Linked DNA regions of Oryzias latipes. The protein of the gene in region 2 interacts with the protein of the main gene of each other region in a pairwise test. Links are inferred from orthologs where the notes say so. Each region holds a gene or a part of one and is shown on either strand. Other genes may lie near its edges. The genes, in order: satb1, pias4, htt, smad7 and smad1.

Region 1 (3,514 bases), on a different chromosome or scaffold from region 2:
CTGACCGTGCTTTTTGAATCAGGTGATGAGGAGCTTCACGTGAGATTTTCATTCTCATGAAGCTCCTCCCATCCTGAAAAGTTGACAATTTCCATGTCTTGTCTTGGTTTTTTTTACATCTTATTTTATGTCTTCTTGAGTTTTTCCCATTTAAACTTTTTCAGCTGCAGATTTTTTCCTGAATTTTTGAAACTTCAGAGGAAGAATCAGGAATGTTGGACATTTATATCAAAGACCAAACAACCGCCCACATCTTCCCTCCAGGTTTAGCTCTGTGTTTGCAGTTATTTAAAACTCTTTGTTTGGCATTAATGTAACCGCTAAAAATGCACATGATTGATACGCAATATTATCAGAATTATCAAATGTTAGTTTAAGCAACAAACGGCTTAAGGATCTTAAGACGCGTTACTCTGAAAGCCAAGTCGACTGCAGAAATTAAGACTTTTATTCTGAAGGTTTATGTGTTTTATGTCCTCAACACCACAAAGAACTGCTCAGCAGGAAAGTTGGGGATTTTCAAATGAACCAGGATGTCAAAAATCAAACGTCTTAATCTGGATTATGGGAAGTTTTCTTCCTTTAAGGTTTTTGAGAAGCCTTTAGCAGGTTTCATCCTCTGATTTCAGGCATGTAAACACGGCGTGCTCCTCACCTGTGCAGCTGGATCTTGAGCGTGACCACGTGGTAAACGTCCTGCAGCATGTCGGCCACTGTGGCGTCCGGCGCGTCCGTCACGTACGACAGCGGGACGGGGTTCCACTTCCCCACCTGAATCATACCTGCGGGGTGAAAGCGCGTCAACGTGGGCCGGAGCGGAGCTCGCCATCGGCGCTTTATTTAAAACTGCAACACTGGCGTGCTGTGATGTCAGCAGGGGAGAGGTGTGAGTCAGGGTTTGCGTGCGTGTGTGTGTGTGCGTGTGTGCGATAGGGATGGACTACGCGCACAAATATGCATCTTAAAATAGCAAAGCTCAAACTGCATGTGTTCCTGTGCAATTACAGTCTTGCCTCCACCTACACAACACGTGTGCATGGAGATACACACATGCAGGCCACTGTGTGATATCTGTCAGCGTGTGTTGCAGTTATGGTGGAGGGGGTGGGAGGAGTCACCTTTGGCCTGGGCGGCGGAGCTGTGAGAGTAGCCCAGCGACAGCAGAGCCATCTCGATGAGCTGGTTGAACAGCATGTCCTTGCGCACCAGGACGAACTCGGCGTGCTCCTCCTTGCTGTCGAAGTCCATGGGGTTCTCGTAGTGCTCCACCACGCAGAACACCGGCAGCATGTTGCCTGCAGACACGGCAACACCCGGGTTCTGGGGGTGAGGACTCTGACCGTCAGCCGCTCACAGGGAGTCATATTTAGCCCGATGATCGAGTTAGGTGAGGAGAAATGATCTTTCAGAGTGCAGTTCCGGTGCAAAGACTCTCCCATTCCCATCAGCACCAGGAATCCAACGTCAGGCAGAATTCACCTCGCGTTGGGGTTAAACACGGTAAAAACGGGGAAACATCACCGTTGAAGCCTTTTCCTCCCAAAGCAAAGGCCTCTCCTGCTAAACGGAGTCACCAGCAGCTCGGTCGACTAAAAAATGAAGAGTCCTGGTCCAGAAAATGAACGTTTACTCTGCAAATTTCACCCAATGTGCTTTTGTGTTAGAGAAGTTTTAATAGGGAAAGTGAAAAGCGTCTCCCCGAATAAAGAAACCGTGTTTACGTCCTGCTGTCAGACAGATTTCTACTTGTTTATCGTCTCTGCTGACCAAAAAAAAAAGATCCCAATATTTTCGGATCCTAGGCATTCCAGAAGATGCGCAGGGCTCCGACCAAACAATCGACGGGCCAACAAATGCAGAGGAATGTGCTGAAAGGGCTGCTTTTCTCCCCCCTGATTCTGATAGATACAGATCTGACAATAAAGACTGCTGTGCTGGTTCATTGGGGGGGGGGGGGGGGGTCAATACTGGCTTTGTTTCCAAAAGCCCAGAGAGCGCCGTGGCAGATATTATTATTTCGGACCAACTGTGGCTCCTGTGCGAAGCCTGAGAGGTGAGCCCGCCCCCTCTTTGCCAGCCTGGATGCTGGAGAAACAGCTGAAAGGATGGGGGGGGGGGAATAGCGGACGTTTCTCCCAGATGCATAAAAAAAACGAAAAAAATAAAGTGGAGAAATGACCCATCTGAGGACACAGCGACACATTCCAGGAGCTCCTGTCTCCCTATTGGCCAAAAAAAAAAAACAACAGACCAAAAAAGCTCCAGCAGCCAAGAACTTTTACGACTCCAGAACTGACTTCTGAATCTCACTTCCACTAAAAACAGAACCATAATCGTAAAAACAGACTCGACTGACGCCTTCTTCTTCCTCAAGAAGATGACTTATATTAATAATAAAACTTTGTCAAAGCTCCTAAAAGAAACTTCTGCCCACTGCAAACAAACGGCAGCATAGCAGAACCTTCCCCTAGCTTTGGTTTCAATGCACCAACGTCAAAATATTCTACTTTTCTGAGGAGAAAAGCAACTTCCTAGAAATGTCTTTTTTCTGTAAGAGCAGAATTATGCACAATAAAACTTCATTATTATGCCTGTGTCATTAATTAAGCAGTAAAAAGATGAGAATTTGCAGATTTTCCGCCGTGACGGTTTTATGGCGCCTCTTCGTTTAAGACACACGAGGAGAAACAGACGCGATCTCCTGCAGCGCCGTCTTACCTCTCTTGTGGAAGGTCTTCAGCAGGTGGCCGCTGGGCTTGTACGGGACCCCCGCCAGTTTGGCCCCGTTGCTGCCCAGTCGGGCCCGCCCCAGCGGGCTGCCGTTCTGCTCCAGCCGGGGCAGCTTGGCCGGCGGGGCCTTGGCTTCCGCCATGCTGTTGACCAGCTCCGAGTTCTCCTTGCCCAAACACGTCTCGCTGAGATGCTCCATCCTTCTCAGCGCCTCTGCTCACTATCACCTGGGGAGGGAAAGAAGCATTAAAGAAAACACCTGATGGGTGGGATTTTGGCTAGGCGTGAGGCTGTGGAGCTCTGAGAACATCTTCCACCTGAGAAGAGCGAATCTCCACATTCAGTCAGAGGAAAGTATTACAGTTATCCAGCAAACGTGGCGCTTAAAAATAGAATTTAAAACACAAACTCAGTTTCTCAGTGAAGAATTTGGATGGTTCCAAAGCAGAAAAAGTATTTTTAATGATATTTTGGATTTAAGATTATGAATGTGGACGAAAAATCTTCAACTTAAAATTCTAAGTCCAAATCATTATTTTTATTAAAAACTTTTATAATAAACCCCTTTATTGTTTCCCTGTTTATGTATTTACAATCATTTAGTCGTTTTTTTAAGCTATACTTTTAAAAACTTCTAAATTCAAATTTTTTTATACATCTATATTTATATATATAAATACATTTGGTTTTGGATGAAATGTTGACCTGTGGAAGGCCTGGGGAGGAGACAAAGTAGTTCACAACTTTGTAAAGTATGTGGGCGCGTGCCTGCATGGGCGCGCGC
Region 2 (4,200 bases):
GCTTTTATTAATGTTAAGAATATTATGAAGCGCCTGTTCGCTCATCGTTTTATTTAATCCGTGTGGTCGGTGCTTTTTTGTGGAAGAATTAAGCTGGAAGAAGGCTTAGGGCAGGCTAACACGGGCTAACATCATTAGCCTTGATGGACACAAAATCCAGGACCGTGCGAGAAACGCAGCAATCTGCATCTTCGCTGCACCTTGGCTGCACGTAAATGTGTGGGAATAACATCAGCCTTTATTTTGTCGGGACACGACTGGAAACACAAATTCATGTGATTGTTTGAACTGTTTGACTGAGCGACATTTATTTCTGCTCTGAAAAGTTCACACAGACAGACCGCCCCAAAGCCACTCTGTGAGCTTTGCCTCTAAATGCAGTTTATGTATGTGATTCTAACCAGTTTAATTATGTTTCCTGTTCAATTACAGTGTGAAAAAAGTCATAGTCCGGGCACAAAGATATAAATACATTTGGTTTAACGTTTAATATTTCTGTCTGAATACGACTTACTTTGTTTTGAATACAAGTCCCCCATTAACTTCCTGTCAAAAATATGTTTTTACAGGAAGTTAATGTGAAATTTCGGATTGAAAAAAAGACAGAAATTTTAAACGTTAAATTTATTTATTTTTGTTTTGGTTTTATGGAGTCAAACATTTTAAACTCTTCCTCGGTCCATATGTATCTGCTTGGATGCATGAGCTCAGAGGTAATTTACCTGATATGCTGCAAAATGTTGATGAATAAATCCAGTTCCTAAAAGCATGTGAATGTGAACACTCTGTTGTTTAAAGGACTCGAAACATTCAACTGTAGGACTTGGAGGTGACGTGAGACTTGTTGGTTTCGACTTGGGACTTGAGACATGGGACTTTGTCCCTCCTGTGGTTCACTGTGACGTCCTGCTGCTGATGTTCCTCAAAACGCCATGACTAACCTCCACTCTCCTCCTCCTGTCTCCTCCAGCTGGTGAAGATGCGACTCGGCGTGCCGTGCCGAGTTCTGACCTGCGCCCATCTTCAGTGTTTCGACGCCGTCTTCTTCCTGCAAATGAACGAGAAGAAGCCGACGTGGACCTGCCCCGTGTGCGACAAGCCGGCTCCCTTTGAGCTCCTCACCATTGATGGGTGAGGAAAGCTGTGTCCAACATTTACGACTGAAAACTTCATCTGCACTCTCGGGCTTTGACAAGTTTTTAAGTCAAAACCACAAAAAATCAAAGCTATGTTTGTTTTGACCTTCCCTTGTCTATACGTGAGGACAACTTGAAGTGTTTTTGTAAGTCTGGGTTCTGCAGATCTTTGGCAGACCTAAAGGTTTTTATCCACATCTGGGTTTCAGGTTGTGTTCAGAGATACTGAAGCTGACGGGTGAGGACATCGAGGAGATCGAGTATTTGACAGACGGCTCCTGGCGGCCAATCAGAGATGAAAAGGAGAAGGAACGAGAGCGGGAGCGCAGTAAAACTCCAGAGTACTCGGTTGTTGACATATGTAAGCGTCTGCGCGTTTCTTAGAGCGCCGTCTGCGCCGCGTTACAGTTCGTGACCTGCTGGGTTTGTGTCTGCAGGCAGTCCTGAAGCCAACGGCCATTCTCCGGCCCACAGCAGCACCAGCCTGACGGGCCGACCCGGAAGCAGCTCCTCAGGGATGGCTGGAGTCACGGGAGCACCGGCAGCAGGAGGTGTGGTAGTAGATCTGACTCTGGACTCCTCCTCTGAGGAGGAGGGGGGTGGGGCTGGAGGGGACAGTGAGGACACTGAGGACAGCGCCGACAGCCCCGCCCCCAAGAGGGGACGATACAACTACGACAAGGACTTGGTCACGGCGTACTGACCCTGCAGTTCTCCTGACAGACTGAGGCAGAGGAGCATGGAGGTTCAGACCTGAGGGCAGAAGGAGCCTGATGCTCACAGCGCGTCACTCCTCTTCGTGGCGTCCTGGCAAACCAACGCCGGTTTCTGGAGGAGAACGCGGTGTCTCCATGTCCCAATGGGGGCTGCTCCTCCTTTAAGCTTGCAGTAAACCCCGTTCCATCCCGTTCCTGCTGTAAAGACTGATCTCCTGACTACTGCTGCCCCGCCCCCTTAGTCTCCAGACTCCTCCCCTTCACCGTCTCTTTGTACAGACTGTCCGCCGCCGCTGCGGACCTTCAGTGTTTGCATCACATTCTTCTCACATTAGTGATGGACAGGAAGTTGTAAGCCAGCCGCCTCTGTCCTTTTTTGTTGTTGTTGAAGATGAAAACATCAGATGAGAAGACATGAAGGTCTGAGGAGCAGGTCAGGTGGAGATCTTGGTTCATAGCATCAGTCCAAACGTTAACCAGATGTTTCAGGATCATCTGGTTCATGGAGGTGCAGAGCACAACACCCCCCCGAAGCTTTCCTTCTACGCGTCCTCGGATGGAGAAACCTACCTCAACCGCAGAAGCTCGGCCCACAGATCTGAGAGCAGCTCTGGAGCAGCTGCAGACTTCCTGAGATGTTTCTACACTGGACTTTCATACGATGTGACCCTGTTCTCGGTCCAAATCCAGGTTCACAGGTGAAGCTCTTATTTTGGTTGAAGTTCAGGATGTGGTCTGCCTGGCTCCTGCAAAGACGTTTGTGGACAGGAAGTGATGGGCGGAGCTGCGCGTTTGGGTCAGTGGAGACGTCTGAAGGTCAGAGGCTGTCACTCTGCAGCTGCATCACTGCGCTCTTCGCACTGCTCTGCTTCCTGGACCTCCTGCTGTCAGGTGGAGCGGCTGTTGTCCGTCACACATCTCACAACAGTTGAACCTCCCGTTGCCCCGCCCGTCAGGCTCCTGTCTCTGCTGATGAGCTCACACCAGAGCCGGCTTTGCAGGATCCGTTTTAGTCCCAGAGTGAATCTTCAGGCCGTCGCATCTCCCGGTGGAAGAGATGTTTGCACTTTGATGGAAAACCTTCAGAGGACTCGTTTGGAAGCTCTGCATGTTTTCATTTGTTCCTGCACTTTGTGACCCGTTTCCATTCGCCGTGGGCTTTAGGTTCTGAGGGTTTCAACTAGAGGGTCGCGCTTGTCCACGACACGTTCTCATCCGCATCTCCATGTTGCATTTGGATCAGAACTTCCTTCACAGCAGAAGAAGGCGGATTCATGGTTAGAAAAAGAAGCTGGAGTCAAATGAAATCTGATCTTCCGGTTTGGAAGACACGAAGGCTTCGGGTGTTCGAGGAGTTCTGCTCCTGTGGCTCCGCTGAAGGTTCTGTCCATAGAACTCCTCGTCTGTTGGAGGGTCAGGCGGCCGGAGTGGATCTCCTCAGCGTCTCGTGACATCATGGTTGGTGGGACCGAGCCGCGTAGATGGTTTGAGCCTGTGGGGTCCCTGGTTTTTTTTTCTTTTACTTCTCTTAGTGGCTTCTCTTTGTAAATGCAGAACGTAGCATGGCCGCCCGGTGGCTCACAGTTCATTATGTACGAGTTTGGTTTTTTAAATGTTCATAAAGACAATAAAATGAAAATCTTATTTTATTACGTCTGGAATTCCCCCTGGTGATTCTTCTGGGTGACAAAACGCTGAGTTCAGCAGCAGCTCTGGACGCCGCCGCTGTGGCCAACATGTTCCACGTGTGAGTCTGTTCAGGACGATGAAACTGTAACATAAAGAAATGTATTCTAACAGCTGTTATTGACGTGTTGAATTAATAAAATCTGTTCTTAAAAAACATCTTCGCCTCTTTTCTGGAACTGTGTGACCTGAGTCTCAACTTCTGCTCTGGGAGGAGCTGCCCACCTTCAGGAGGCATTTGCTCCTACTCCAGTGGTTCCTTCTCTTTTTTTCTGTGTCTCCTCCATCCTAAAGAAGCGTCAGCTGTGGTCTATCAGGTTCAGACTGAACTGCTCTAGGTTTGCTTCACTAAACGGGTGGTTTTGGTTGCAGCGCTGACTGTTCATCCTCTAATTTATCTCGGATGAAACGCCGCCGTCTTCTGAAAACCTGCTGAGACGTTTGCATGATGGCACCAAACTTCAGCAGAGATCTGCTCTTTGGAGATGTGTGCAGCTGAGTCTCTATGAAAAACACGTTTGATGAATCTTCTGAAGTTTACGTTTGAAAAGTCAAAGTCTCCAGAACTGCAGGGTTGATGGGCTGAAGCCGAAAGGCAAACCGGTCAATTAGCTGAAATTACATTTACACAATAGATGATTTTCTGCATTAAGATGCCAGCA
Region 3 (3,514 bases), on a different chromosome or scaffold from region 2:
AGAGAGCACTTTTCCTGGAAAAATTCCAGATTTGTGGTCAACGCTCATCGAGTTCCTACAAGTGCAAACATCTGCAGGTGGAATTTTGAGTAAATCCCGTCGTTTGGGCGGAAGTCAGCAAAGAAAAGGTGTAGAAGAGTCACCTCTCTGTTTCCTGAGGAGGAGTGGACTGCAGGAAGACCCACCTCCTGCTGCAGACGGCAGGAAAACCGGAAGAAGAAAAAAAGGAAATGACAGGAAGAGAAGCAGGAAAAGCTTGGAAAGCACTAAAAAGATGACGATTCGAACACAGCAGAGGTGTTAATCTCACAAACAGACCAAGAGTTAGAAAAAGGAGCAGCCGAGTTCCTTCAGGGCAAAAGTGAACGCAGCGCAGGCTAACAGGACGACTCGCTAAATGTTTAGTGGCGTGAATCAGCGACAGAAACACCTTTGTGGAGAAAAACAACGCATTACCAATGAGCTCCAGGATGCTGCCAGAACGGGCGCGGCTCTCGTTGTCTTGGCGAAACACGGTGGCGTGAGGAATGCTGCCCGCTGTGATGAGCAGGTGGAGGAGCTCTGGCGGCGGCGTCCTGAACGTCTGCTGCAGGAGCTCCAGAGCCGCCGTGACCACGTTGTGATCCCAGTGCTGCGTGTAGTGTAGGGTCAGCTCGTACACCTTCAGAGACGCAGGAGGTGAGCAGAGCGTGGCTGCACAAACACACATGCGCTCTCTTACACACACACACACCTGTAGCATCTGCTCAGGTGTCGGCTGAACATCTGCCTCCTTCCTCATGACCCCAAAGCTTCCTTTGAGGCTGGTAGTGTTGACCTGCTGCTGTAGCAGAGGCATCATGTAGCGTAGAGTCAATAACGTCCCCAGAATCAGATGACTGGGATGCTCCTCGTCTACTGGAACCAGCAGACCTGGAGATGGAAGGAGAGCGTGCAGAACCAGGGGGCTTGCAGTCTGGGTGTGCCGTGTTCGGTGACGTACCTAGCAGCACATTCAGAAGCCAGGTATAGAAGTAGCTGGTGCGTCTGGAGTGTTGGCATACGCTGACGGCGGAGCTGGCCGCCGTCCGTCTGATGGTGGGGGAGCTGGATTTCAGGTTGGCAACAAACGACTTTAGCAGGAGCTGGAAAAATGAAAAGGACTCGAGCTTTTAGTGAATGCAAAAGGGGAGAAAAAAAACATTGTTCCTGTAGTAAAAACAGGTTACCTTGACCTCGCCGTCATTCGCAAAGTTTCCTAGCGCGGCCATGATTTTGGGCGTTGCTGCAGCCAGGGTCTCCTGCACGGTTTCCTCCTGCCGCTTGGTGATGCGGGTGAGGCACGGCAGCAGGTTCACCAGGTACGGCCTTGCAGAGCAACCAAAGGACAAAACAATAAATCCCGAAGCATCCCATTAGAAAAAAAACTAAATTAAAGTAGAAGGAGCTGCATTTCCAGAAGAAAATGCAGGATTAAATGCTGTATTGAAGACAAGAGTCAGCGGCTGAAGGACGCTCATTAATATTTGAATGAATATCGTCCTGGCAGCATTTTAAATCGATACAAGTATCGCCAAATGAATTATCGCGATATATTGCTAAAATGATTTTTCCCCTACTGGCAGGTCGTGCTTTCCGTTATCGTAACTCAATATAGAGACTTGCTGTCAGTTTTTTTATTTTTTAAGTTATTGATCCTGGAAGTCCTAATCTGGCTGAACTGTTTCTGTGCGCCTCCTGCTCAAAGTGGTGCAGCAAAAAGATAAAGGTGATTTGTTGCAGATATGCAGACGTCTAGTAGATCTGGAATAATAAGCTTGAAATGTAAAGAGCTGATCATAATGAGAACAAATTAACTGAATGCCCGATCCTTGGTCGGGGTACAACATCCCATTTCAATCAAGTCTGCAACCACATGACCAGGCCAGATTTTTGACCATGTGATGTCCCGATGTGTGATCGGATCGGGACATCCTTAATGGTGACAAAAAAACAGATAAACGTTTTAACTTTCCAAAGAGTGGTTCACTTTTCTCTCTTGTTTAAACTCTTAAAGTTCAAACCTTTATAAAAGGTTGGTGTGTGTGAGGACACACACTAGCTGTCTTCACACATAAAGACAGCAGGTAACGCAGGAAAACAGCTGCACTTTATCTTATAAATAAGTTTGTGTGCGGGGGTTGGGGGGGGGGCATTTTCTTTTTCCTAGGGGGGGTCCTTGCAAAAGATAATTGAGAAGCACTGAGCTACGCGGAGGAACATTGGAGCAGCTGCAGGGAATTCAAGAAGAATGAATCCATGATTCACAAGTGGAGGAAGCTGGAAAACGAACTCCGGCAGTCAGGAAGACGCAGCTGAGTTTCCAGTTCCTGGTCCCAGACCAGGGTCCACTTGGGTGTATTCAGACTGAAAATTTGTTCCAGATTATCGGGGAAAACTAACTCTGGTTCACGAGTGTCCAGCGTGAATACATCCTTAAAGAAAGATCCCCAACAGATTTCAAAATTAATCTGACAACAGTGAGCGATGGAAATCCTCCAGGCGGCTCAGGTACCTGCACTTCTGCGGCCTGATGAGGTGGGCCAGCTCAGCAAACCTCCACAAAGCCGCCCTCAGACTCCGAGAGGCACCGTTCTGCGAAGAAGGGCACAAAAAAAAAAACACTTTTATTGATGGAAAAGCTGCAAAAGCAACGATGCAAATAAACAACAAGTGGAATTTATTACCTTTTTAATTTCTTTGTACAACTCCAGCTGCAGTCTGGGTAAATTAGAGTCCATCAGCGCCTGAAGATTCAGGTCAGAAGATGAACGAAGCATGATTGGTTAAACAAAACAACACAATTCATATTAACAATAGGTGGTTTGACCCCTTCTGGTCATGTCAACTGTTTATTCTGAGTGTATGTCAAATATGGGAAAGATAAGGAAAAAAGAGTGTTTACATAATAGAAATGGATGCACAGGAATAAAATGAAGCATAAATATGTAAAGGGGGGTTTGTGGCGCCTCTTCTCTTCAACAAAAGCTAAATAATTCCACAATTGTGTTTACATACACACTGCAACACACACTTCCAAACACAAGCACAAATGCACAAAAGCTCACACAGCGCAAATAACTTTACGTGAATATTTATGTAGAATAATAGTTCTGATGGAGTTAAAAAAAGAAAAAAGAAACACACACACAAAAACAACCTACATGCCAAAACCAATAAGACAAAAGCATTGGTTCAGTCAACGCAAACCAAAAAGCAGAGTAAAGAGAGTTCCTCACTTTAATGATTTTGTTCAGGCACTCGTCAGCCACCATCCGGACGTCGGACTCGCTGTCGTCGCTGCAAAGCAGAAACATCTCCATGGCGATGCCAAGCAGCTTCTGAAACTCTGGAGACGTTCTGTTCAAAGGGTTCAAATAGGGCCAACGGTAAGAAAAGCATTGATTCAACTTCCCCCCTCCCCCCCATTACTTTAGGAAACCCGGGTCCTCGTTTTTTTCTAATCTGAGCCTGTCAGTCAAATTTGTAGCGGACA
Region 4 (3,995 bases), on a different chromosome or scaffold from region 2:
GTTTCTGCGCCCATGGAGGCTGAGATGATCAGAAATAAGAGATAATTAAAGACGAGGGTTTGGTCTTCAAAGCGGATGTAACCCATGACGATGCTGTGGCCTGCTGCCACACGGGGGCCCGGGTCAAGTCAGAAAACAAGTGTTGGGTGGTGGTGGTGGTGGAGGGGGGGGGCAATCACTTTGAGTGGAGAAAAGACCCCCCTCCCTCCCAAACACACACCGCAAACCCCACTCTTAATCTACTGATCATTCCATCTGATAAAGGCTGACTGGCTCCAGACTCTGTTGTCTGTCTCTCTCAGCACTGTGGTTCACAATAGATAGATGGACAGACCACCCCCCCAACCCCACCCCCAACTCAGACATGCACACAAGCCCTGGTGACATGCCAGTCAGTCCATAGCTGGTATCTCAACTTCGTATTGCCTTGCCCTGGCTGCTAGCCACATTAGAATTGGCCAGCCAGCCAGGCGTGTCACTCTGCCCCCCCCCCACACACACACAACTCCCCATAAATCACAACACCATTTCCTGCAGAGGACACCAACGTGAAGTGCAGCTCATGACATCACTTCAAACATGCATATTATTGCACAAACAAACAAACAAAAAGCAATGACTTAGGAAATATCCATGTGAAATGATGCATCAAGCTCACCTGGTGGTTTCAAATAGTCCATGGGATATCGCGAATAAGGAGGAGGAGGAGACTCTGTGTGGAGGAGGAGGGGGGGAAAGAAAAAAAACTGCATGAGAAAAGAAGAGGAAGAAAAAAAACACAAAGGAGAGATCTGAACTTTCTGATAAGAGTTGTCATTCTTCAGGGGAGGGCTGATTTGTGCCTGTCAGCTCCGCCTGGAGAAGCAGGCAGTGAGGCTGGCCGGGCGGCTATTGCCTTTCATTGGCAGGCAGATAAACAGGGGGCCGCCTGGCGCCAGAAGGGCCACTATCAGCGTCTAGGACAAACTGAGATACGGGCCTCTTTTGGCCCGGGACGCCAAGCAAGCACACACACACATAAACACACACATTTCAAGACTGGAGAGTCTTTCTGTACTTTGGATGCCAATTATGAAATGTTGAAATTCTTAACAGGGGTGTTTGGAAATCTGAAACCGCGACAATGCGTATAGCTGAGGAGGATTTGAGTTTTGGAAAAAAAAAATCAAATGGAACAATTAATTAAAGTAGGTTTCTATTCAAACTCGACCACCAAACCTGCTAAAAGGATCTGGCACAGCTTCAGATCAATGGAACCTGAAGACCACTGTGCCAGAGAGGTGTTGTCATTAGAATTAGGTTAATTGGCACAGTCTTTTTCAGCCTTCTCTCCACCTAGGACCTCATTTTTTTGGAGTTTTTTTTAGTGAAAATATTGAAGCTCACCGAGTTCACAGAGCCTGCTCATGTGGTGAGGGTTGCAGCAAACGAGCTCGGGGTTGGCTTTCCCGTAAGATTCACAGCACGACAGCCTCTTCAGCTCCGAGGAATGCCTGAGGTCCGGCCACCTGAACACTTTGTAGAGCAGCATGGGGAGGGAGTAAGACTGTTGACCCACTTTGGCGTCCACTTTGCTGGGCAGGAGAAGGCAGGGGCTCCGGACGCCCCCCTTGGACTCCACCGCCTGCAAAAGCACCTCTAATTGTTTTTCTTTGATCTTTTTCAGTACCGAGTGGGTCAACGCCTTCAATTCGGCCTCCGACCCCGCGTTGGACTTGGCCACTTTTGTCGCTTTGCCCATGCAGCAGCCCCCGGAGCCATGCGTCCCTCTATCCGTCTCCCCGTCGCCCTCCACGGGCGCACGGCTCCTCCAGAGTCGCCGGACGAGCCCCGATCGTTTGGTCCTAAACATGCGGGACGAAAAGAGGGTTTCCCGGCTAAAAAACGAGCATGGTGTCCGCAAATCATGAAGATTCCGGGATCCGAGTCCAGGCAATGACAAGCAGCCTGAGAGAAAACGGTGGAAAAACTGGGAGCTGGAGAAGCAGAGGAAATCTATAGCATGCGCCAGTCTCTGAAGCTGTTTTTCCTGCAGAAAGGTCACCAGAAAGCGCTCGAGGTTGGCGGGACAGCCAACGTTTCCACGATCAGAATACAAAAAAAAAAAAAGATCACATCTATGAGCTTAGAAACACCAAACCGGAGCAGGAAACCTGCAGCAGCGGAGCTGCGTGAAGCCCGAATGCGTTACAGTTTTGTGCAATCCGGCGCTGTGAACTGACCCCTTTAAAAAAACGCCGTGACGGTTTACAGCGGGGGGAAAAACGCTGTCAGAAATGTTTATTCAAGTCACAACTAACTGGTACTTATAAGAAAAACCTAAGGCCTAATTAAGCCTCAACGCTGGCGCAATCATCCCATGAAAAAGCGAAGCTCTCCGCCGCGTCTTGAGTAGCATAATCCACAAAATCCTTCATCCGAGCGCACGAACTGGGGCTCCCCACCTTTAAATGTATATTTTAGTATGTAGTGGATGAGGTCTTCTGGTAAAATAGTGAGCCAAGGAGAAAAAAATCCAGGTCTCCCACCGGAGTTGAGTCGCGTTTGTAAAGCCACAGCAAGACCCTCCGTTTTTCTTTTTCTTTTTTGCGTCCACGCAGCGAGCCTGCTTTTAGCAATCCCTCCAGATAAAATAATCCAAAATCGTATCTCTCACGGAGTTTCCGTGGCTGAGCGTGGAGGAAAGCGAGCAGACAGCTGATCTGGTCCGGGCTAAAGGGCTCTCTGTCTGTAAATGAGGCGGATGGTTTGGGTGCCCTTGCTCCGTCTCCAGTCTCCAGTGCGCATTGACGCGCCCGGTCACGTGTGTGTCTAGACACCCTGTCGCTTAAAAGAAATGTGATTGTGTTGCGCAAACAACAGATCAAGTAGAGCCCACGGTGCACACACACACACAAGCGCGCGCGCGCACTTAGAAAACACAAATGAGAAAGTTTACGCCACAAAAGTTTAATATTTGCAGAAAAAAGAACAACATTAAAAAAATTTCTCAGTTAAATTATTTAGTAAATCTGCAGATTTTTTGGTTTGCTTTCAGTCCTAAAATAATGTTTATATATATATATATATATATATATATATATATATATATATATATATATATATATATATATATATATATATATATATATATATATATATATTCAATCATTAATTTCACGCTTGTACTGAATAAGCAGTAAATACGTGTTTCATCGTTAAAGCTATGAATCAGTTTAATATATCTTCATAGCTTTTCGCCACTGTTGCCATGGTGATCACACAGGGCAGTTTTATTGTTTTGGAGAGTTTATGGCTGGAGTTGAATTTAGGAAGTGAGCCACAGTGCTGACTCCTTCGGGGGAGCTCGTTGCTGCCCCCCATCGGACATGTTCGGTACTACACACACAAAGAGTTCCCACCCATCTTTATTTATCCAGCAGATCAATCCATCAGCTGAGGATCAAATTTGTCTTTTCTTGTCTTTTTAACATGTGCCAGCCTTCCTTCTGTGTCATTGCCCTCATGGAATCCATATTAATTATAACAGACTTATATATGTCTGGAATTTAGCTCAATGTTGGTGCCAAAAATGTACAAATACAGCTTGATGGGGAACACTCACTGTGATGTCTCACTTCAAACCCAATAAATTTAACACGTTTTAGGAGAAATTGTTCTTTTAAACAGAAATGAACCGTTTCTGGTCTGCAGACTTCCCTCGACAGACAGTAGTCCCGGGGAGGAGATGCAGTCAGCAGTATGTTAATATGACAGAGTTGCTGCAGGGCATGGGGGTGGGCGGCAGATAATGATGGTGGCAGAGATGTGTGGGGTTGAGGAGGGGTGTGTGTGCATGCGTGGAGGAGATGGAGAAAGATGGGGGAGGAGGTGGGGTGTGTGTGTGTATGTGTGTGTGTGGGGGGGGGGGGGGGTATCAGTCGTTTATCCCCCCCGTATTGTTCCCCCGGATCCCCAACTGGCGCCGAGGAGGAGCGCGCCACTGCAGCCCCAAA
Region 5 (4,087 bases), on a different chromosome or scaffold from region 2:
TGTAAGTCAATAAATAAAGTAGTTTTTAAGTGAGTTTTATATTACAGAAGGAAAACGTTTTGGGATGTACTTTGTCAACTAATCTGAATTTATCATGCCAATTCAGTGACTATGCTTTTAATAGCTATAGCTCTAGACACATGCTTTTTTAACTGTAGTTTTTATTTTTGGCATATAAACTTTTGTCTGTGATAATAAAGTTGTGCATCTAGGAAGGTAAAATAAGAGGATGATAGTGGATGTGTGCGCGCGCCCGAGTGTGTCTGTCTGAAGGGAATCCTTTTTGCTTCAAGTTTGAAGAGCCTTCCCCCTGCCCCCGCCATCATGATCCCTATTATAACGATCATCATCATCATCCTCATCAGCGAGCCTCCACCCCTCCACCCCGTTCCCTTCTTCCCCCCACATTTATTCACGTGCTGCTCGCGCCCGCCTCACTCAGACATTCTGTCGCCAGCGCCGTGACGTCACGTGTGCCAGAAGCTTTCTGCGTCGAGAGCGTTTGCCTCCGCCTGTCTTCAAGATAATCTAGTCCCTCTCGCGGCGGAAACGCCAAATCTTAGAAAAACTATTTTAAAAATGTGACGTTTTTTTTCTTTCGTTTGAAAAATATCACATTATTACAAAACACTTGTATGTTGTTTTTTTTATCGCAATACACAGGCAAAGTGGAGAATTTTAGCTTTACTCTGTATATACACTTCCTTTCATATATTTAATATCTATGATACACTATTAGCATTTATTCCAATTAAGATACAATATATTTATTTCATTTCACGCTTGTATTCTTTGTTTCGTGGCACGTGTGGTCATGTTTCTATGACGTCTATTTACTTTTTTCCTCTATCAGGCAATTGCTTATCATGTCACAATCACAGCTTGAGGGAAACAAAATGCCTAAATGCAGTTCAGAAGTTCAGGATCAGACAAACTGCCTGTCAGGATTGCAGAAAAAAACAGAAAAAAACCAAGCAGGCTTGCTCAATTCTCTTAGCAATTTACACTTTTTAACTCTCATTTAAAAGGTGTGTACGCCAACAAAATGCACAGTCCAAATAATATGGATTTACAGAGAAGTTATGGGAGGAGTTTTTATGCTTTGAAGTTAAAAAAAAACACAGAACTGTTATGTAGTATAGGAACAGAATGGAAACCCTTTCCTTGTAAGAAATTGTTGACAATTTGCGAGAAGCTCTAACTGTTTTACAATTACATAATCCACTTATGAAGATGTAGTAGGTCTGCTCTGTGTTGGGGTCTGTGTCCCGCGGCGTAATACTGGCGCACAGGGGGAGTGTGAGGCGGCTCGGCGACTCTGTGACGCCAGGTCGATAAGACCCAACTCAGGCAGCGAGAGCGCTCAGGAGGGGCCCGGTGATTCCCAGAAAGCGTAAACTACACACAAAAAAAGGTACGGAGATATTTTTATTCCTTTAAATTTTATAAATAAAACTAATTCTAGCATATCTTGTTTATACTGCGCACCACTTTACCGAGAGGAAGGAGAAGGTTAGCAGGTTAGCAGTAGTCTGTCAGTTGGAAGCTTCAAACTTTCCCCCCTTTAATTCAAAGTCTCTGACGGGAGACTTATGTTGTTTTTTTCTTCTGTGTGGAAATCATGAAGTGATGATGATGAGAGCTCAGCATCGTTGCTTTCTAGAAAACTCTTATGAAGTACAGATTTAGAATGTGTGTGTGTGTGGGGGGGGGGGGGAGCTGCAAATGCTGTTGTTTTCAAATCTCTTTAAATGACAGAATTTAGGCTTCATTTTGGTTCAATTTCAAAAATACTTTCTTTTCACATGAAAAAAAGCAATATTAGGTGATGTAATGCTATATAGTTGTATCCCATTTCAGCCACGTTATTTCTTTGTTTAATGTCAGAATACTGAATTATAAGGCCAAAAGTGATCATTTTGAAAAATGACTAATTACTTTGATCATGTAAACTCAGTTTATATGTGCATAAACTAAATACACTCAGCAAATAATAAACCAACAAGGCAGATCTACATCATCAACTTTTGTTGTTGTAGAAATTAAATCATCCTCATTATGAAACTCCACTTAAAGATGATCGACAAAGATACAAGCTAATCATGGAGTCTCCAACTTGAGTGTTTAATATATTTTGTAAATGAAGTATTTAATGGCTTTGAAGAAATGAAGAACATAAATATTTTAATTTTTTTTAGTTTTTTTAGGCTTTGTAGACTGAAACAAGTCATGATACTAGAATGCACACAAAAATGATTGAGGATATGTAATAGACATTGTATAAAGATCAAGTGACATTTATCTGTGCTTTCTTTTTGTCTACAAAAACACCAAAAATTGTAGAAAAGTTATTGATTTTACTTCGTTATGCAACATTCTGACATGTCTTGATGAAGTGTTATTTGATTTATTACACTGCTGTTAATGAGTAATCATAATTTAATCATGAACAATTTTCCATTCTATTTTAATGTCAAACAGTACAGCAATACTCTTAAAATGAGTACATTGCAGGAATACTACTTGCTACTGTTGTTTGATTAATGATAACTACCTTTCGCTGAATTTTAAGAAGTACTTTTCCTTGCATTTGCACAGTAGTGTACTAGAGTTTTTCTGCAGTTGTGTCCATGGAAGGTAAACAAGGGAAAACACAGAGTGAGAGTCTTGCAGCAGCTCAGCCCAGATCTCCTGACATTATTGAAGATGACATATCAGATTACTCAAAGGACGGGATTTTGCCCTTGTTCGTGCTACAGCCTATACCCTGTTGTTGTTTTGCATTCTCGGGGTATGCAATGATGAGTTATGCTTGAGAAATTGTGTGTTCTTCCCTTTTCTTTTCAGTCTTTTAGGACTGATAAGAAAAATAAATGTAATGTATTTATTTAGCTTATTGTCTGTGGGTTTTTTTGTACACATGTTCGTAAAGAAATTTAGCTTTAGCATGTAGAGTTCCCAGTGTTATTGTTGTCTGTCTTTCAGCTGTGGCATTTCTTAGGGTGACTACAATCAGAAAACTGAGCTAAACTACACTGACAGATTCATTTTGCAAATGAAATATTTCTGACTATAGTGTAATGTACTAAAGTATGAATATATAGGATTAATTTGTTACACTTTTCTTGTGTGTTTGTGTGATCTGAGCACTGTGGCCTCATAGTGATAGGGGGAAGTGTCCACCCTAACACAACACAAACCCGACTCTTGAGTGCCAAGCATGTTTGAGATGGCTGCCTACAAACCCATGCGATTGCTATTTATGTCTGCTGTCCGGTTGCGTGTTGACTGATGTATCTGGAATGTAAAAATACGGCTGTAGCTTTGTAGTCAGGACAAATGTGATTCCAGGCCGTTTGCAGAGGCTGTTCCCATTCAGAGCTTCATCTCTAACTTATCGTGCAATCCTTGCCGAATCTGAGCATTGCACAGATTCGTGTTTGTGGGGGACCGTGGCCCGGTGACTCAAAGGACACTCTGGTCAATGACTATGTCTAGTCAGAAGGCATCTTGTGTGTGTCTGTGGTTATTTTTAAGCTTTACTTATACATAGACTGCTGGGTAAAATAACTTTGGCAGAAATCTGCATTCATTGCTCACTGTGGACCCTAACAGATTTTAAATAATTGTGGATGTCATCTTTATTTTGTCCAAAATAATCTCTTTATACATAAGAATTAAAGATTTGAAAATAAACAGGATGCTTTTTTTTAACAGATCAAGCCTTTATTGTTCAAAATCTATATAAAGACCTGGTCCAATGAAAATATTTTTGGTGTTTTTAACATGTTCTTATAGTATTTTTCTCATGATGGAGGACATGTAAAAAAAAAGAAAAGTGCTCAAAATTTCTTTTTTGAGTATTTCTTCATTTAAATGGTTGTAAATCAAGAGCAGTTGGAAAAAGTCTGTAGCAGTGATGTAGGTGCTGCTGCAGCCGGCAGACCACAACCCCCCTGCTCCGCTCTATTCCCATAGATCCACTTGTAGATGCATTGATCCATGTTAGTCTTTGTTTTCCTTGTCCGAGTTGACATCTGACTCAAAACTCTCCTGTTGGATCGCTCCAATATTGCTAGGCATTTTT

The links.
Region 1: the proteins of pias4 (region 2) and satb1 interact in a two-hybrid assay, tested with the Homo sapiens proteins (2 studies listed by BioGRID and IntAct). The link is inferred for Oryzias latipes from reciprocal best matches to the Homo sapiens genes PIAS4 and SATB1.
Region 3: the proteins of pias4 (region 2) and htt interact in binary tests that used the Homo sapiens proteins (3 or more experiments, as listed by UniProt). The link is inferred for Oryzias latipes from reciprocal best matches to the Homo sapiens genes PIAS4 and HTT.
Region 4: the proteins of pias4 (region 2) and smad7 interact in a two-hybrid assay, tested with the Homo sapiens proteins (2 studies listed by BioGRID and IntAct). The link is inferred for Oryzias latipes from reciprocal best matches to the Homo sapiens genes PIAS4 and SMAD7.
Region 5: the proteins of pias4 (region 2) and smad1 interact in a two-hybrid assay, tested with the Homo sapiens proteins (2 studies listed by BioGRID and IntAct). The link is inferred for Oryzias latipes from reciprocal best matches to the Homo sapiens genes PIAS4 and SMAD1.

What each region holds. Positions count from the first base shown.
Region 1 is NC_019874.2:30,130,704-30,134,217, reverse strand, and holds part of satb1 (DNA-binding protein SATB1), read right to left. Parts: intron 2,958-3,514; 5' UTR 2,930-2,957; coding exon 2,719-2,929; intron 1,296-2,718; coding exon 1,119-1,295; intron 783-1,118; coding exon 656-782; intron 1-655. UniProt on the Homo sapiens protein: Crucial silencing factor contributing to the initiation of X inactivation mediated by Xist RNA that occurs during embryogenesis and in lymphoma.
Region 2 is NC_019862.2:7,817,331-7,821,530, reverse strand, and holds the end of pias4 (E3 SUMO-protein ligase PIAS4), read left to right. Parts: intron 1-970; coding exon 971-1,131; intron 1,132-1,345; coding exon 1,346-1,497; intron 1,498-1,573; coding exon 1,574-1,839; 3' UTR 1,840-3,697; downstream 3,698-4,200.
Region 3 is NC_019859.2:35,197,543-35,201,056, forward strand, and holds part of htt (huntingtin), read right to left. Parts: intron 3,379-3,514; coding exon 3,258-3,378; intron 2,766-3,257; coding exon 2,706-2,765; intron 2,614-2,705; coding exon 2,534-2,613; intron 1,348-2,533; coding exon 1,209-1,347; intron 1,125-1,208; coding exon 983-1,124; intron 913-982; coding exon 734-912; intron 662-733; coding exon 457-661; intron 192-456; coding exon 144-191; intron 15-143; coding exon 1-14.
Region 4 is NC_019870.2:9,759,890-9,763,884, forward strand, and holds the start of smad7 (mothers against decapentaplegic homolog 7), read right to left. Parts: upstream 2,805-3,995; 5' UTR 1,853-2,804; coding exon 1,387-1,852; intron 713-1,386; coding exon 659-712; intron 1-658. UniProt on the Homo sapiens protein: Antagonist of signaling by TGF-beta (transforming growth factor) type 1 receptor superfamily members; has been shown to inhibit TGF-beta (Transforming growth factor) and activin signaling by associating with their receptors thus preventing SMAD2 access.
Region 5 is NC_019859.2:18,353,915-18,358,001, forward strand, and holds the start of smad1 (mothers against decapentaplegic homolog 1), read left to right. Parts: upstream 1-1,285; 5' UTR 1,286-1,414; intron 1,415-4,087. UniProt on the Homo sapiens protein: Transcriptional modulator that plays a role in various cellular processes, including embryonic development, cell differentiation, and tissue homeostasis.